4 linked regions of the Oryzias latipes genome follow. Each later gene encodes a partner of the first gene's protein in a complex. Links are inferred from orthologs where the notes say so. Each region holds a gene or a part of one and is shown in the gene's direction. Other genes may lie near its edges.

What was found.
Region 2: the proteins of ecsit (region 1) and acad9 are in contact, whole or in part, in a cryo-EM structure (PDB 8PHE), measured with the Homo sapiens proteins. The link is inferred for Oryzias latipes from reciprocal best matches to the Homo sapiens genes ECSIT and ACAD9. Residues at the interface, in NP_057665.2 of Homo sapiens: Pro321, Glu322, Glu323, Trp324, Asn325, Leu326, Tyr327, Tyr328, Pro329, Met330, Leu332, Asp333, Leu334; in NP_054768.2 of Homo sapiens: Leu180, Thr181, Asp188, Ala189, Ala190, Ser191, Ile192, Lys228, Lys239, Asp240, Lys241, Ile242, Phe293, Ala296, Met297, Leu300, Ile431, Met434, Tyr435, Leu438, Thr439, Leu441, Gln442, Gly445, Thr449, Leu516, Gly520, Lys521, Ile523, Met524.
Region 3: ecsit (region 1) and cytochrome c oxidase assembly factor 1 homolog share a complex: the UniProt entries of both Homo sapiens proteins name them as parts of the mitochondrial complex. The link is inferred for Oryzias latipes from reciprocal best matches to the Homo sapiens genes ECSIT and COA1.
Region 4: ecsit (region 1) and tmem186 share a complex: the UniProt entries of both Homo sapiens proteins name them as parts of the mitochondrial complex. The link is inferred for Oryzias latipes from reciprocal best matches to the Homo sapiens genes ECSIT and TMEM186.

The regions. Positions count from the first base shown.
Region 1 is NC_019876.2:29,030,273-29,034,305, reverse strand, and holds the start of ecsit (evolutionarily conserved signaling intermediate in Toll pathway, mitochondrial), read left to right. Parts: upstream 1-1,188; 5' UTR 1,189-1,409; coding exon of another isoform or gene 1,410-1,434; 5' UTR 1,435-1,465; exon of another isoform or gene 1,466-1,975; intron 1,976-3,065; exon of another isoform or gene 3,066-3,073; 5' UTR 3,074-3,160; intron 3,161-3,301; 5' UTR 3,302-3,363; coding exon 3,364-3,495; intron 3,496-4,033. Other genes in the region: eml3 (echinoderm microtubule-associated protein-like 3), read right to left, coding at 1,410-1,434.
Region 2 is NC_019863.2:25,296,312-25,299,041, forward strand, and holds part of acad9 (acyl-CoA dehydrogenase family member 9, mitochondrial), read left to right. Parts: intron 1-456; coding exon 457-535; intron 536-618; coding exon 619-790; intron 791-859; coding exon 860-933; intron 934-1,010; coding exon 1,011-1,086; intron 1,087-1,156; coding exon 1,157-1,227; intron 1,228-1,300; coding exon 1,301-1,420; intron 1,421-1,498; coding exon 1,499-1,627; intron 1,628-2,725; coding exon 2,726-2,730. UniProt on the Homo sapiens protein: As part of the MCIA complex, primarily participates in the assembly of the mitochondrial complex I and therefore plays a role in oxidative phosphorylation.
Region 3 is NC_019875.2:5,297,597-5,301,747, forward strand, and holds the start of cytochrome c oxidase assembly factor 1 homolog, read left to right. Parts: upstream 1-1,326; 5' UTR 1,327-1,483; intron 1,484-1,505; coding exon of another isoform or gene 1,506-1,531; exon of another isoform or gene 1,532-1,606; intron 1,607-1,968; 5' UTR 1,969-1,981; coding exon 1,982-2,075; intron 2,076-2,280; coding exon 2,281-2,432; intron 2,433-4,151. Other genes in the region: blvra (biliverdin reductase A), read right to left, coding at 1,506-1,531. UniProt on the Homo sapiens protein: Component of the MITRAC (mitochondrial translation regulation assembly intermediate of cytochrome c oxidase complex) complex, that regulates cytochrome c oxidase assembly.
Region 4 is NC_019859.2:36,187,891-36,191,166, forward strand, and holds tmem186 (transmembrane protein 186), read left to right. Parts: upstream 1-1,392; 5' UTR 1,393-1,531; coding exon 1,532-1,552; intron 1,553-2,005; coding exon 2,006-2,671; 3' UTR 2,672-2,740; downstream 2,741-3,276. Other genes in the region: gde1 (glycerophosphodiester phosphodiesterase 1), read right to left, coding at 767-1,036. UniProt on the Homo sapiens protein: As part of the MCIA complex, required for efficient assembly of the mitochondrial complex I.

The DNA.
Region 1 (4,033 bases):
AGACTGGATTATAAGGAAAGAACACAAAAACCTAAAGAGACTGATCACATGAGTCATTTAGGAGATTCTGCTCCACAACTGAAGTTGAACCTGAGATTGTGCACGGACAACAGAAGCTCTATTTCTGTGAACAACTACAGAGATTTATGTGGTTATTATTGATTTTCTAAAATCTAAAATACTGTTACTTTATATTTACTGACTTTTTATGTAAAGAACCCAGAGAGGATTATTTAGTAACAGATCGGCTTGTTAACATTTGGTTCTGTGTGGCTCTCAGTTTACATTTAGGCCCCCCTGCGACTGTCACACTTTCTCTGTTTCAAACTGACCACGGCCCCCATCAGAGGATGGAAACGTCTCTGAAAAGTCTGGGGACCCCTGCGTTAGAGGTAAGACTGAGATGGTTGGGACATGTCCAGAGGACAGACTGAAGGATGCTGAGTCTAGAGGAAGACCAGAGAGGAGGACTCTGGATGAAGGAAGACATGAAGGTAGCTGCTGGTAGAGGATGCAGGAGACAGACAGAGGAAGCTGATTGGCTGTGGAGACCCTGAAGGGAAACACCCAAAGGAAGAGAAGAAGATGAGTGGATTGGAGTACACACCCATCGAGGTATTTTGACGTTATTTCTGTTGTACAGTCAGTACTCTGGTCTAAACGGAGGAGGATGACAGACGTGATGGACAGAATGAGGCCTATAGGGGAAGTCCACATCCTCAGGTGGGGTCTCCGCTGCTCCTGACACCTTCAGCCAGAGTTCTGCAGGAGCTGCAGCTCATTGATGCAAAAACGGAAACAAGAAGCGCCTCCAGCTGAATCTAAGAGCCTCCAAATGAAAGCTGCGGGAATCTGAGCGCACGAGACGTTCCCAGACGTTTAAGGCATCAGCACAGAAGGGCCCCGCAGGCCCCGCAGAGGCCCCAGATGTGCAACAAAAGCCGCTTCTGTCTGTCCCGTGGAGCGGAGCCCGACCCGCTGCTGTCATCCGGGCCGTGTTTGCTGATCCGAAAGTGAAGGCATTCCTCAGAACCGCCTTCAGGTCATGAGATAAAGCGCTGCTTCCAAACCGCAAATATGACTTCAGCCCCGCACACCCACGCACGGCGCTGCGCCCGCGGCACACATCTCTGCGCCTCGCTCGACGCGGAGCTTTACGCGGCCGTTTGCAGGTGAAAAGCGGGCTGAAGACAAACCAACTACTGTCAGAACCGAACCGGAGCCAAGAAACGGAAAGAGAAAGTTGTGAACAGAACCCAAACAAATGTTCTGAAGTCCTCCACCAACCGGACATTTACAAAAAAACTCCAGGATGACTGCTCCCCGCAGGAGCAGTGGATCGGAACCAGTCAGTCAGAAGCAGCGGGGCTGGCGCTAAAGTTCGGCTGGTTCGGAGCAGAACTACTCACCCAGACTGTTGGTGGAGGAGTCCATGATCCGGTTGAGAGGCGCGGTGCGGCCAAAGGTTTGTGTTTTTATACTTTAAGGTGTGTTTTCCATGCTCACGCGGGAGTGTCTCACAAAGGCTCCAGTCAACTGCGGGCGCTGCAGCACACCGGAAACGTGAATGCCGCTCACAGCCGCGCGCTTCACGCGCCAGGAGGAACCCCGCGAGCCCTGCAACCGGATTACCGACTCCCAAACTGACAGCAGAACTCACAGGGATCCATCAGCGGGACATACCGCTGTCATGTCAGTGCTGCAGCCCCCCAGCCCCAGAAACCCCCCCGGACGCTGACAGCCAGAGCGAAAAATGTTAGTGTGGAGTTTTCAGCTCATGCAGCGCGGCGATGCCTGCTGCTGCCTCAGCGCCGCTGTTTCTGTCGCCCCCGCGTGGCGTCATCCGGAACTGCATGTTGCTGAATAAAGCATCTGCTGCTGCTGATCCCGTTTGATGTCCGCCGCTGGGAGGATCACATGACCACGTTCAGCCTCACCAGACTTAACCAAACTCCCAAAACACAATCCGACTACCCCCCTCCCCCCCATTGTCCTTCCCTGCAGCTGGGTAAACAGACAGGAGGATCAGATAATATCTGAATGCATCAGACAGATTTCACATCAAGGAGAAATGAATAAAAATCCCATTTTTGGGCTCTTCTGACAATAGTTACATCACAGTTTCTTGGTTTAAAAAACAGATTAAATTCTATGAACCATTTCTCTGGTCCAGCCTTCCAAAATAAAGGCCCAATACACAAATAAAAAGGCCGTTTGGATTTGATTTATTTCAAGCGATCAAAACCGAAAAGACAAACAAAAGACATTTATGTATAGATCAAGTATATCAAACTCAAGCTGATTTGTCACGAAGTGATTAAAAAATCTAAAAAGTAAAACATATAAAAACAGTTGCAAACATATATTCCTTTATAGTTACTCTTAATCATAAATATTTGCACTTATATAAACAATACACGACATATTAAACCTATTAAATTAAAATTTATTTTCCAAAAGAGTTTAATTATTTGAGGAGTAAGAGAAAGCTAATGAACATAAACCCACCCCTATTGTGCTTTATTTAACTTGTTTTTACATATTTATCATATTCTAGTTTGTAACTTCTGACAAAAAGACATGACAACATTCCAGAAATTAATATTACTCAAACATTTAGTGCTCAACGATTATTGCATTAATTATCGTTTGATAAAACTTCCCTCAAAACTATCAAAGCAAACCTGTTTTTTTAACGGCTTTCCACTTTTTTCTAAGTTAAATTCTTCTCTACTAAACTTTGGAGGCCTCTCCTGACTAGCTTTGGGGGGGGGCACTATTACTTTATGAATGACATTTATTTATCTTCCCTCTTGCTGAGCTTTTGTCACATTAAAATCCACCTGGTTGAACACTTGCCACCAGCCTTGACAGGAGGGTTTGGGGTTTGAATCTCTGCACCTCTCTGCCTTTTCCTGCTGCTGCTAAGACGTATTTTATGTTAGGAAGAACGGTTAGTATTTACGTAAACAAATATTTACATTTTCTCTGTCTAAAATCACCGGGCAGCACAGCGCGGAACTTTCTTCTCCGGACCTGCGGAACGATTGTTGCTGTTTTTCTCTGTTGTGAGGGGGAAGGAAAAAGGTGCCGGACAGAGGACGTTGGTTCCCCGGTAAGCTGCCGCCGTGTGGTTGTTTTGAAGGAGACTCGTTTTCAGGTGTGTTTTGAGTGTTTTCTTGTCACTTTGCTTCATTTTTTAATCTCTTCCGGGAGTCACTGATAACTAGTGGGAGACATTTTGGTGCTTGTGATCCTGGCACGCGCTCAGACCTCCCTGAGTCCGTCTTTCTTTCGATAGCCGTCGCTGTCTGTCTGTCTGTGTGGATCTACCATCTGGACGGTGGGTTTCATGGCTCCACCATGAAGGTTTCCCGCTGCCTACAGCGGCTGCAGGATCTGCGGCTGCTCCGATGCTCGTGGCAGACGGCGCGGGTCCTCCAGCCAGAACCCCACGGTCCGCGCGCCGCGCGGAGCAACCCACAGCAGCACCGGGTGAGTTCCGGCCCACCCCCTCCTGACGGGCCCTGAGTGACAGGTCCGAGATCAAAGGTCCCGTCTGTGTGAGTGACAGGTCCGAGATCAAAGGTCCCGTCTGTGTTTTACCTCCTGAAAACAGGAATCGCTTCTTTCCAGCGATTCATTTTTAATGATCAATGATTTTTCACAATACAAATATGTCAATCAAGTTACAAATGGTTCCAATCAAACGTTCATAAAAGGAAAAAAAAAGTAGAATTATTTCAAATTAAATGTTTGTTTTGCTATTTTTAAGCAAATGGATTGTATTCTATGTGAGGTTCTTGTATTTGTATTGTTACTTTTGATTACAGTGACAAAGAACTAGTGTAAAAGGTGCAAAAGACTCAGTTTAGAATAAAATTAGAATATGATGTTTGTCCACATGAATATGTTTTAACAGATTTAATTGGATCTCCCTCTGTTTTTATACAACGGTAGTGACAGGAGTTCTGCTGTCAATTCAGTTAAAGGTTTCCTCATTGAATTGAATTTTAAAATATCATCCTTAAAA
Region 2 (2,730 bases), on another chromosome or scaffold:
CTGTGGAGCTTCATTCGTGTTTCTGCTCACAGCCCGACAGCAAAGAGGTGATGGAGCACGGGAATATCTGCCAGCAGTAACAGAGAGAATGCATGTACACACAGCCCCCCCCCCCCCCCCCCCCCCACACACATCTTTTTATCTCACTGAAAGTACACAGGCTTTTATTTCGAAGGAAAGTAGTCGTATATCTTAATAATCTTTCCTCTACAACAAAACACTTTAGCGTCTTTCTATTTTTTCTTTGTCACCCTGTTAGGAAGAGTCTGGATCAAACGATTAACATCATTTTAACTTAAATTTTCAAAATAAAAGTTTAAACAATTTTTTTCATGTCTGAATTTCCCAAAACAAACATTACAGTTTTATGCACTCAGGGAATAGAACACTGAATTGTCTGTGCACATGACAGTGCACGTTTGTGTGCACGTGGCTGACTGTTATCTGGTGTTACAGTGGGAGTGATGCGGCCTCCATTCAGACTCGAGCTACCCTGTCTGAAGATGGAAAACATTACCTGATCAACGGTTCCAAGGTGAGACGGTGGACGCTCACATGGGTGCACGTGTTTGTTTTTTTTACATGTAGGTGTGTTGAGCTTCCTCTTTTGTCTGTCAGTTCTGGATCTCAAACGGAGGGATGGCGGACATCATGACAGTGTTCGCTCGCACTGAGGTGGAGGTGGACGGAGTCAAAAAAGACAAAATCTCAGCCTTTATTGTTGAGAGGGCTTTTGGGGGGATAACCAGCGGCAAGCCAGAGGACAAGCTGGGCATCCGGGGATCCAACAGTAAGTGGGGCGGAGTTGGACTCCAAGCTTTGTCGGGTCTGTGAAGCTGAGCTTTGGTTCTACTTCCAGCTTGTGAGGTGTCCTTTGACAATGTGCCGGTGCCGGTGGAGAATGTAATTGGTGAGATTGGAGGAGGATTCAAGGTAAACTGTGCCCTGCTCTGCAGCCTGACCAGTTGAAGGTGTTTGTCGGTCATTAATGGGAGCTTTGTGATGAACAGATCGCCATGAACATCCTGAACTCTGGAAGGTTCAGCATGGGCAGCTCCTGTGCCGGAATGATCAAAAAGCTGATCGGTAAGCAGATATTCTCTGAAGGTTGTGGTGCTTTTCGAAGTCTCTGCATTTCTATATATTCTCTCCGCAGAGATGGCCTCTGAGTACGCCGCCACCAGGAAGCAGTTTAACAAAAGCCTTAGTGAGTTTGGCCTGATCCAGGTATGCTGTCAGCCTCCTCACTGTAATAAAGCAGCTAACACCCAAGCTAAAAAGTCCTCATGTGTTTCTGCAGGAGAAGTTTGCCTTGATGGCCATCAATGCCTTTGTGATGGAGAGCATGGCTTACCTGACTGCAGGAATGATGGATAGACCTGGAGTTCCAGATTGTTCTCTGGAAGCTGCCATGGTCAAGGTAGATGCAGCCTCCCCCCTCCTGTGCTCTATTTCGTGCTAGGCTTGAGCCCCACCCTGATGTCTCTGTGCCGCGCAGGTGTTCAGCTCAGAGGGAGGCTGGATCTGCGTCAGCGAGGCTCTGCAGGTCCTCGGAGGTCTGGGTTACACCAAGAACTACCCGTATGAGCGCTTCGTCAGGGACTGCCGCATCCTACCCATCTTTGAGGTAAAGATGAGGCAGGGCTGCAGTATGCAGGTGTCACTGTTCAGGATCCGATCAGTGCAGCCTCTGGGTGTCCTGTACTAAAAACTGTCCAAGCTGAACATCAGGATTTCCCCGAATCTCAGGAGAAACTGGGGCCTCAGAGCTGACCAGAAGCCTTATTTATGTCAGTTTCTACACGCAAAAAAGTTAAGGAACGCAGGTGGACATCGCCATTTACAAAGCTTAATGTAAACACTGGTGTAGGAAAAATATATGCTGGAGACATTGCTTCCGTGCGCAGTGAGCAAACCTGTACAAGGACTGCTAAATTAGACATTTGGCGACAAAAAAATAAAATATTACAGCAATTCAGTCATGAATCACACGAACATTTTATCACCACTTTTAACAGGCATTTTCTATCAGTCATTAGGTTCTTATGCAATGACTATTAATGCAATTAAGCTCTCAGTGCTGTGAAGCTGATGGAGATCGTGCAAGAGACCACACAGTAAAAACCAAACTGGGAACTACCAGTATTAGTTTTGATGTCTCAAATATTCAGCAAAACATGTCAAACACCTAGGCTATGTCTGAATTTCCTCACTTCTCCCTAACCCATAAAATATGATATAGTGCAGGACTAGAGCCCTAGTTTTAATGCAACAATGCCCACTAGTTTTCACAGAGACTTCTGGGAAATTTCTAGGATTTTGAATTATTATTTTGTAATACAAAATGCTAACGCACCATATAGTGAGTAGTGAGGGAATTCAGACCTTGTTTCTTCAGTTACATGTAAACTACATCTGTGCTTGAAACTGTGGGTCACTGGATTGTAGTGGCTCCGCTTCCCCCAGCTGAAGACGTCAGGCGCATGTCATCAGCAGGAATCATCAGCTGTAGGGATGTCGTTGACATCTGGTGCGATAAAGTGGAAATTATTAATAAATGCCTCAAAAGTGTTTCCCCATCAAGACTGCAATCTCCTCATCTGTCAGCGAAGTTTCAGCTGTTTACATCATCATATGTAGTTTTCTCTTTTTATGTTGCTTTATTTGACACATACTTCCACACAGAGCAGGCTGGTCCTTCTTATCTTTCTGTGTGTGTCTGCAGGGCAC
Region 3 (4,151 bases), on another chromosome or scaffold:
TAAAGAGAATAGATGAAGTTTAGCCTCTAATCCAAAATGGGTTTATGTAAATATACACCTTGTGTGTCCGAAGATTCATACCCCCTAGTCCACAGGAAGCAGCATCACACTGCTTAAATGGAACCATTATTAAACCAAAACAAGGCCATGGGTCCGAATCCCCCCCCCCCCCCCCCCCCCAATTCACGTGTATTTTCTCATACATGAGAATGAAAAATAAACTTTTAGGACAGTGGTTATTGTTAAAACCCACTCCGATGAGAATTGTATTTTGGGTGTTAACATGTTCTTTTAGAACATTCTGAATGAACATATATAAAGATTAAAGTGGCTTTTTCCAAATAATTGAATCACGAGCAGATGGAAAAATGCAGTTGGAAAAACTAAACCTAACTCACAGATTTACTGTAGTGTTCTGCCCAACATCACTTCAATACTACATTACTGGAAGAGCTGGGAATTGAACCAACAATGACTGCTTTCACTCCCAAAACAGCAGTCGAAGAGACGGTTGAGAGGTTAGTATTCCTCGTGGGTTTTTTGCCCTCAGAGCCCTATGGGTGATGTCAGAGATCACCAGTCCTGTCCAAATATATCTAGAAGCATCATCCTGTTTTTATTAATATGTATCTGTTAACAGGTGTGCTTCATTTAAATGTTTCTCCGTAATGTATTCTCTCTAAAAATCATCTCTCTTTGCTAACGGCCTCCCCGATGGAGCTTATCCAACTTCAGTAGTCCCGCTCTTCCATCCATTCGAGGACATGTATTTAACTCTAAGACACAACTCCTACCACTTTTCTTAGCAAAGTCTGAAACACTGACATCCCTGTCTGCATGGTGGTGTTGTCTCCTGCACATGCAGTCTGGTGCAGCTCTGTGCATAAGCTACTTTTCCTCTTTTCAGCAGCTTCTCAAAGGTTTCGAAGCAACAACAACACAACAGCCTGAACAATGAAAAATGTTCCATATCCGTGCTGTGTATGGGGCGGCATTCTTGTCCACGCAAACACGTAAACATGATGTACATTTAGTAAACCACAGGTGCTCAAAGGTTACCCGGATCGCAGTCAAACACTTTGATTAGAGTGGTGATAAAACCCGTTTATTTCCATTAAAATGGTGCAGAATATAGACCGAAGAAAGAAAGCCAGCTTTTATTAGCAGTATGAAGTTATCCTGCATGTCCAGGAAAAACTGAATTGTAAAGAAGACTGTTCCATTTTCCTCTATATTTCATCTAGTGCAGCGCGTCCAGAGTCCAGCAGGGGGCAGTAAACAGCCTTTGTGCGGCACAAACCCCCGATAAGCATAGAAGAAAGAAGACAAAGGCCACCGTCCCTATTTAAACCCACGTGAACACGTGTTACGGACGGATTCCGGATCTAACCTGCAGCAGAGCGGCGCACGCTCACGGAGAACCGCGCAAACGAGGGGGAGGGGTCAGGGAAGAGCACGCGCCGGTAGAGCCGCATGTGTTCAGGTAAGAGTGACACTGAACTCACCTGAGCGCATTTGTCCGCCACAGCATTCATGGAGAGGCCATTTCGACCAGCTGACAGGACATTCCCGATGACGTAAAAGGGCCCCGCCCAGTCGGTGCCTCGTAGTCGGTGATTTTTTTTTTAGAAGCATTTTTTTACATCCCAATATTTTCAACAGTGAATGCTTTATCTTTATTTTCGGATTTTTGGAAATGTTTCCTCCTGCAGGAGAAAAAAAAAACATCAGAACAATGTTCCTGTTTTCTCTGGGATTTGTGTACACTGTTCCTGTTTAAATAAAGTTTCAACAAATTAGAAACCAGGACAGGACTCCAGAGCTGTAGACCTAGAGAGTTCCTCTCTATAAGTCATTTTTCTGGCAGCATCCTCTGATGATTTTCCCTCCATCATGTCTCTCAGGTTGGTGTCTGCAGCTCAGCCGCCATCGTGGCTCCGTTTCATCTGTCTTTGCTTTTTTGTGCAGGAAGAGCTGCACCATGAGGGTCCCCATCCACCATCTGCAGAGGCTCACCATCTTCACTACCGTCCTGACGGGTGGGGGCGTTGGCACCATGTACTACCTGATGCAGAGTGAGTGCATGTGTGCGTGCACGCGTTGAAGCAATAGTCTGTTCAAAACAGAAACTCCTGGTTCCGCTTTACGGTCTGAAAGTGGCTCTGGTTTAGGAGTGGAACCCGCAAATGTCTTGGTCTGTCTCTCTGCTGCAGCCCCTTCATGTCTCTGTGACTCATGCACACGTACGTGCGCATGCTCTCTTTTCTGCTATCTCGTCAGAAAACTTTGCTGGGAGTGAATACCATCAACTCGCTGTGCGACAGCTGAAGGCGTGTCCTGTTGCCATGGAGAGCCTTGGAGCCCCGCCCTTACGAGTTCATAACATCCATCTGACTGACAGATACAACCGTGTGGACCATCAGGCAGCCCAGGTACAGTCTGTCAGGGGGGTGTCCAGCCGCTGTGTGATGATGAGTAAACTGACCAGTTTCTCCATTATCACAGGAAGATGAAAAATAGGATTATTTTTGCTAACAAAGTATTAGGCAGAAAAAAATATTCACAAATTAATTCTGTGCATTTGTATGCAGCCTGCTTATGCCGACATAACAGAAGGCAGAATAAATCCAGTTTAAACACACAGTTTAGTTGTGTGACATCCTCCAGAACAGGAAAAGCAGCAGAATTCTAGTTGTTACTTGTCAAATCTAGGTCTGAAACCTGTCCCACCTCAAATTAGGGCTGTGTATTGGCAAGAGTCTGGCGATACGATACGTATCCCAAAATTTTACCAAAACATATTTTCTTTTTTTCTTTAAATATGGCTTTGAAAAAACTCAACCTGAATTTCAATATGTCATCCACTGCAATAAAATGGTCAAATTCAGTTTATTAAATGATCACAATGTTAAGCGCTGCAATTGCGTCTCATGTATAAGTTCCATTTACCAAAGCAAATTCATAGTGCTTTTATTTTGGTAAGTTAAAATATAGAAAGGGAACAGTCAACATTGTTTGATTTCCACAACAAAATATTTTTCAGTATAAGAAAAACAAAGAATGAATGAGCCTTAACCAATAAGTTTCTATTGGGCAAATAAAATGCTGTTTATTTTCAACTTTGCTTAATGTAGCTTCTCCATTACTTTTAAACGGTTCAGGAGTCAGAATGGTGCTTCAAAAATAAAGGGTGGGGTGTGGGGGACACACTGATTATTTCCAGAAACAATAAAGTGATGATGAGGCAGCATGACGGAACGACGAAAAGATGCTTTAATGTGACAAAAGTGCTTTGTTTACATATTATCAGTCTCTGCCTGTGCTGCACCTTTGGCTTTCCAGCCACGCTTCATCTCACACGGAGGTAAACTAACGCTCCTCGCCACGATGTCGCCTTTTTTCAGAGCGTTGTACACATTCCTCTGATCCATCAGGTCGCTAAACTAGAATCTATTGCTGGGATGTTTTGCAGAATTTTAGCCCGCTTTGCTGATTAGCAGGTTTTTAGCCGATGCTAAGCGCATAAGCCTCTTTAGCCGCTGCCGTGCTTCACTCTTATTTATCTGAGCCGCTAAAAAGCATCACAATCCTCGTTTTTATATGTTGCTAGAAGCAACATATAAAAAGCAACATGGCTCAGAGTTTCTGTTTGGTATCCATCGCAAGTAAAAACGAAGTATTTCATGTCTCATAACAACAGAACAAGCTGCCTCTGGCTGCAGTCTTCCTGTTGTCTCGTGCAGAGTAGAGCTGCTCTAAGAGGCTCCGTGTTCTCTGCTGCCAACTAGCGGTCAGAGGATGAAGTGGAGAACAAGAGTCAGACGCTGAAGAGCGCTCAGAAATAATTAAATAAATATCGTTCTGGCAGTAGGGTTGGGCGATGTCCCTTAAATTGGCCGTTGACGATGTTTGCTGTCAATCATCGGTATGGACGATGATATCGTCGTGGGGGGGGCTATTTTTAATATTTCGGTCTTATATAATTGCTATTCGTTGTTTTACTTTATTACTTTATTTATTTTATTTCCCAACTAATGACTCATCCGCGATGATCCAGTATAAACTGAGGGAAGTGACTTTAACAAAAAAAGTAACAAACAAACTAGAAAAGAAACGGTCCGCTCCCGCTCTTAACTAGTCAAGTGGACCGG
Region 4 (3,276 bases), on another chromosome or scaffold:
AACTACTGAAAAACTGTGTAGCGTATATGTACATATATATATGTAGTGTCTTGGATTTAAAAAGCAATTCAGACTCCATGCTCACAACTTTTTTTTTTTTTTTACACGGCAGATATGATGTCATCGATTTCACAAAGTTAAAATATAATTACTATGAGCGTTTTGCACCGATTATTTTAGTCAACCGTCTTCTGAAGATAAAAACATTGATTCATTAAAAAAATACATGTTTTTGGTAATAATTGGTCCAACGCAATGCATTGTGGTCTATATTCGCTGATCTAGTGAGCATCATGCACACTGTTTTTTAGCAGAGACTTCTGGGAAATTTCTAGGGCCCTGGATGTTGGAATGGTAGATTTGGACAGCTCTAGTCAGGACATGTCCGATAACGTAAGCTCTTTCAAACGGTGGGGCTCCTACATATTTGGGGTTGCTTTGCCAAATCTTGCAGTTGCTTTAGCAACTCAAAGCTACCGATGGGCGCCGCCCCCTGTCTACGTCACAAATACGATCTTTTTCCAACAGCATTTTTTCGTCTGCTCCTGATCCACAACGATTTGAATAAAAAAGAACTCAGGAAAGCAGTTATATTCTCAACTTTCTTCATATTTGTCCTTCATCACCATAAAAAAGCCAAGAGATCAAGTTAAAAACACCAGAAACGCCGTTTTCACCAGAGCTTTCACAATAATGTGACACTGACTGACGTGCGTCTCCACGTGACACAGGACACCGTGAACACCTGTAAAGACATTCGTCTCACCTCTCTGATGGCAGCGATGGTGTTCTCCGGCGCGTCGTGCGCGCCGCCCCGGTGAGCGATCACGGACACCCGCGCGCTCTCCGCCCCGCAACCCACCGGCTGCAGCACGAGACGGGCTCGGCTGCGCGCCACTTGCGGGAAACGAAACATGGCTAGAAAACAGTACAAGGAAGTGGTGAGGACGGCAGACCACAGCGGACTTCGGGTCCCCAGTAAGACCAGCACGAAGACCAACGAGTGGAGGGCGACCTCGTCCCCCAGCGGAAGCATCGCGGCTCCTCTCCTGTCTGGAAACAGCTGGAGGAAGCGGAAGCACCGCCCGCGCGTCACTCAGACTTTCTAACCTGTCTAGGCACAGATATTCGCCATGGCACAAGCTCCGCCCCGCTGACTTGTGACGGCATCGAACGTGTAACGAAACCGGCACATTCGGCGTCTTTGAACACAGCCGTTAACGGCTGAAGCTGATCGATTCTCCCGTCGGGCCGGATGTGCTCCGTCAAGTCACGACAAAATAAAAGCCTGTAGTTTTTAACCAATAAAAACAATTTACCACAATAAATATAAAACATTTTTTTTCAATAAAATATGGCTATAAATACTATCAGCACTTTAAAACGCCTTACGTGGGCCAGCCAACCAAACAAAATGTGACTTTGAAATAAATTGAAGTAATAAAATAAAAGACTAAGAAAGGACTTCCGGGTCACTGGTCGGCTAACAGATCACTTCCTGTTCTCGTGTTGCTGTATTTTATCTTATTTTATGTCCTTGTCTCCTGTCCTGGTGAGTCTTTTTCCTCACGTTTTGCTTGTAGCAACAAAACTTCATTCGTCAATTAAGATGTTTCGTCTTTATTTATATTTTATTTATATACTAAACAGTTCTGGAGGTTCGACAACTGTTCAGAATGAACTGTCTCTAGTCTCAGCAGGTTACCTTTTCCAGATACCAGAGACGAGTTCAAAACCAGGAATAAGACATTTGACTTACAATACCATTTAGCAAATTTAGGAGGAATTACAACTGTTTTAGTTGACTGTATTGCAAATGTTGTAGTTTATCCATCCCAGATTTCATTGAACATGTATGTTAGAGTCTGGTTGAACTAAACCAGACCAATATCATACCAGTAACTTTAAATCACTTTATGAGATATTGGAAGAAACTAACCTTAACTGCTTTTCCGTCTCTCAGCATACTTCGAAGGATGTTTTTCTAAGTGAAGTTTTTTCTCAGATGGAGTCGCTGTTGCTGCGGAGGCTGACGTCCCGCCTTCTGTCATGTACCAGAGGATCCTGTTTGCTCTCAGGACGGATTGCTTACACCTTGGAGTCTCCTCCTTCTCCACACTCCTCATCAGTTCAGAGCCACCCTGGACCCGTTCCAGCTAAAGTTCCCACTTTGATCCGACACTACGACTCGCCCACCCCCAAATATTCAATGATTTACACCCTGCCACACATTAAGTTCCTCAGGGCGGTGTCCAGACTTAAACTCCTCCAGACCGCCATCACTGCTGTCATCCTGCCTCCAGTGTTTGTCCTGTATTTCCAGGGAGCCGTCTCCTTCTTTTTGGTCAGCTACTCCACTGGAATCGCTGCGTTTGCTGGCGTCATGCTGTACACGCTAAGCCATTTCTTCAGGAGGGTTGTAGGAATGATGTACCTTGATCCATCTCAAACCGTGCTGAAAGTTTCCCACCTTACTTTCTGGGGAAAGCGCAGTGATATGTACATTCCTGTTTCCGATGTTATGACCATTGGAGATACTGGAGATTCAGCGAATGAGACCATCCTCCGGCTTCAGAGGTACAGCGGCCCCGAGACGTTGTATTTCTCTGTGTATTTTGGAAAGGTGGTGGATAGACAGGGCTTTGAGAAAGTATTTGGAAGTTTAACATAAATTCTTTGAACTTTTCTTGGGGGGGGGGAAACTGTTGTGCTGGAAGTTAATAAAAATGTAAACATATTACAGTCCTGACTGTTACCTTCACATGTTCAATGCTAACTAAGGCCGAATCCGAATTCCTCCTCTACCCCTCCGGCTTCTCCCTATTCCTCCAATTGTTGGGGCATTTGGAGGGTCTGAAATAGTTTAAGGGGGCAAACCCTTCAAAAGGGTGATCCTGTAGAGGAGAAATGCATTTCTTCACTTGGGTTTGCTCTGAAGGACTGAAGTTAAGGACTTTTTGTTTTAGCGTCACTCTTTAACGTTATAAAACTGATGTTAGGAATTTTCCGAGCGCTGACGGGGACTATGGATTATGTCGTCGAGTGGGAGTGATGCCCGAATCAGGAGACAATATTTTCCCATATCCCTCCGTTTGGAGGGCTAAATGAAGGGGTAGGGAGAAGCCGCAGGGATGAGGGAAGAATCCGGATTCAGCCTTAGACATCTGTCCGCCATTTGTAGCAGATTTTTCCTGATTGGACACACGGAGTCCAGTTTCAGGATCAATAATTGGTTTTCTGAGCTAAATGAGTTGTAGAAATCCTAAAAGAAATGTT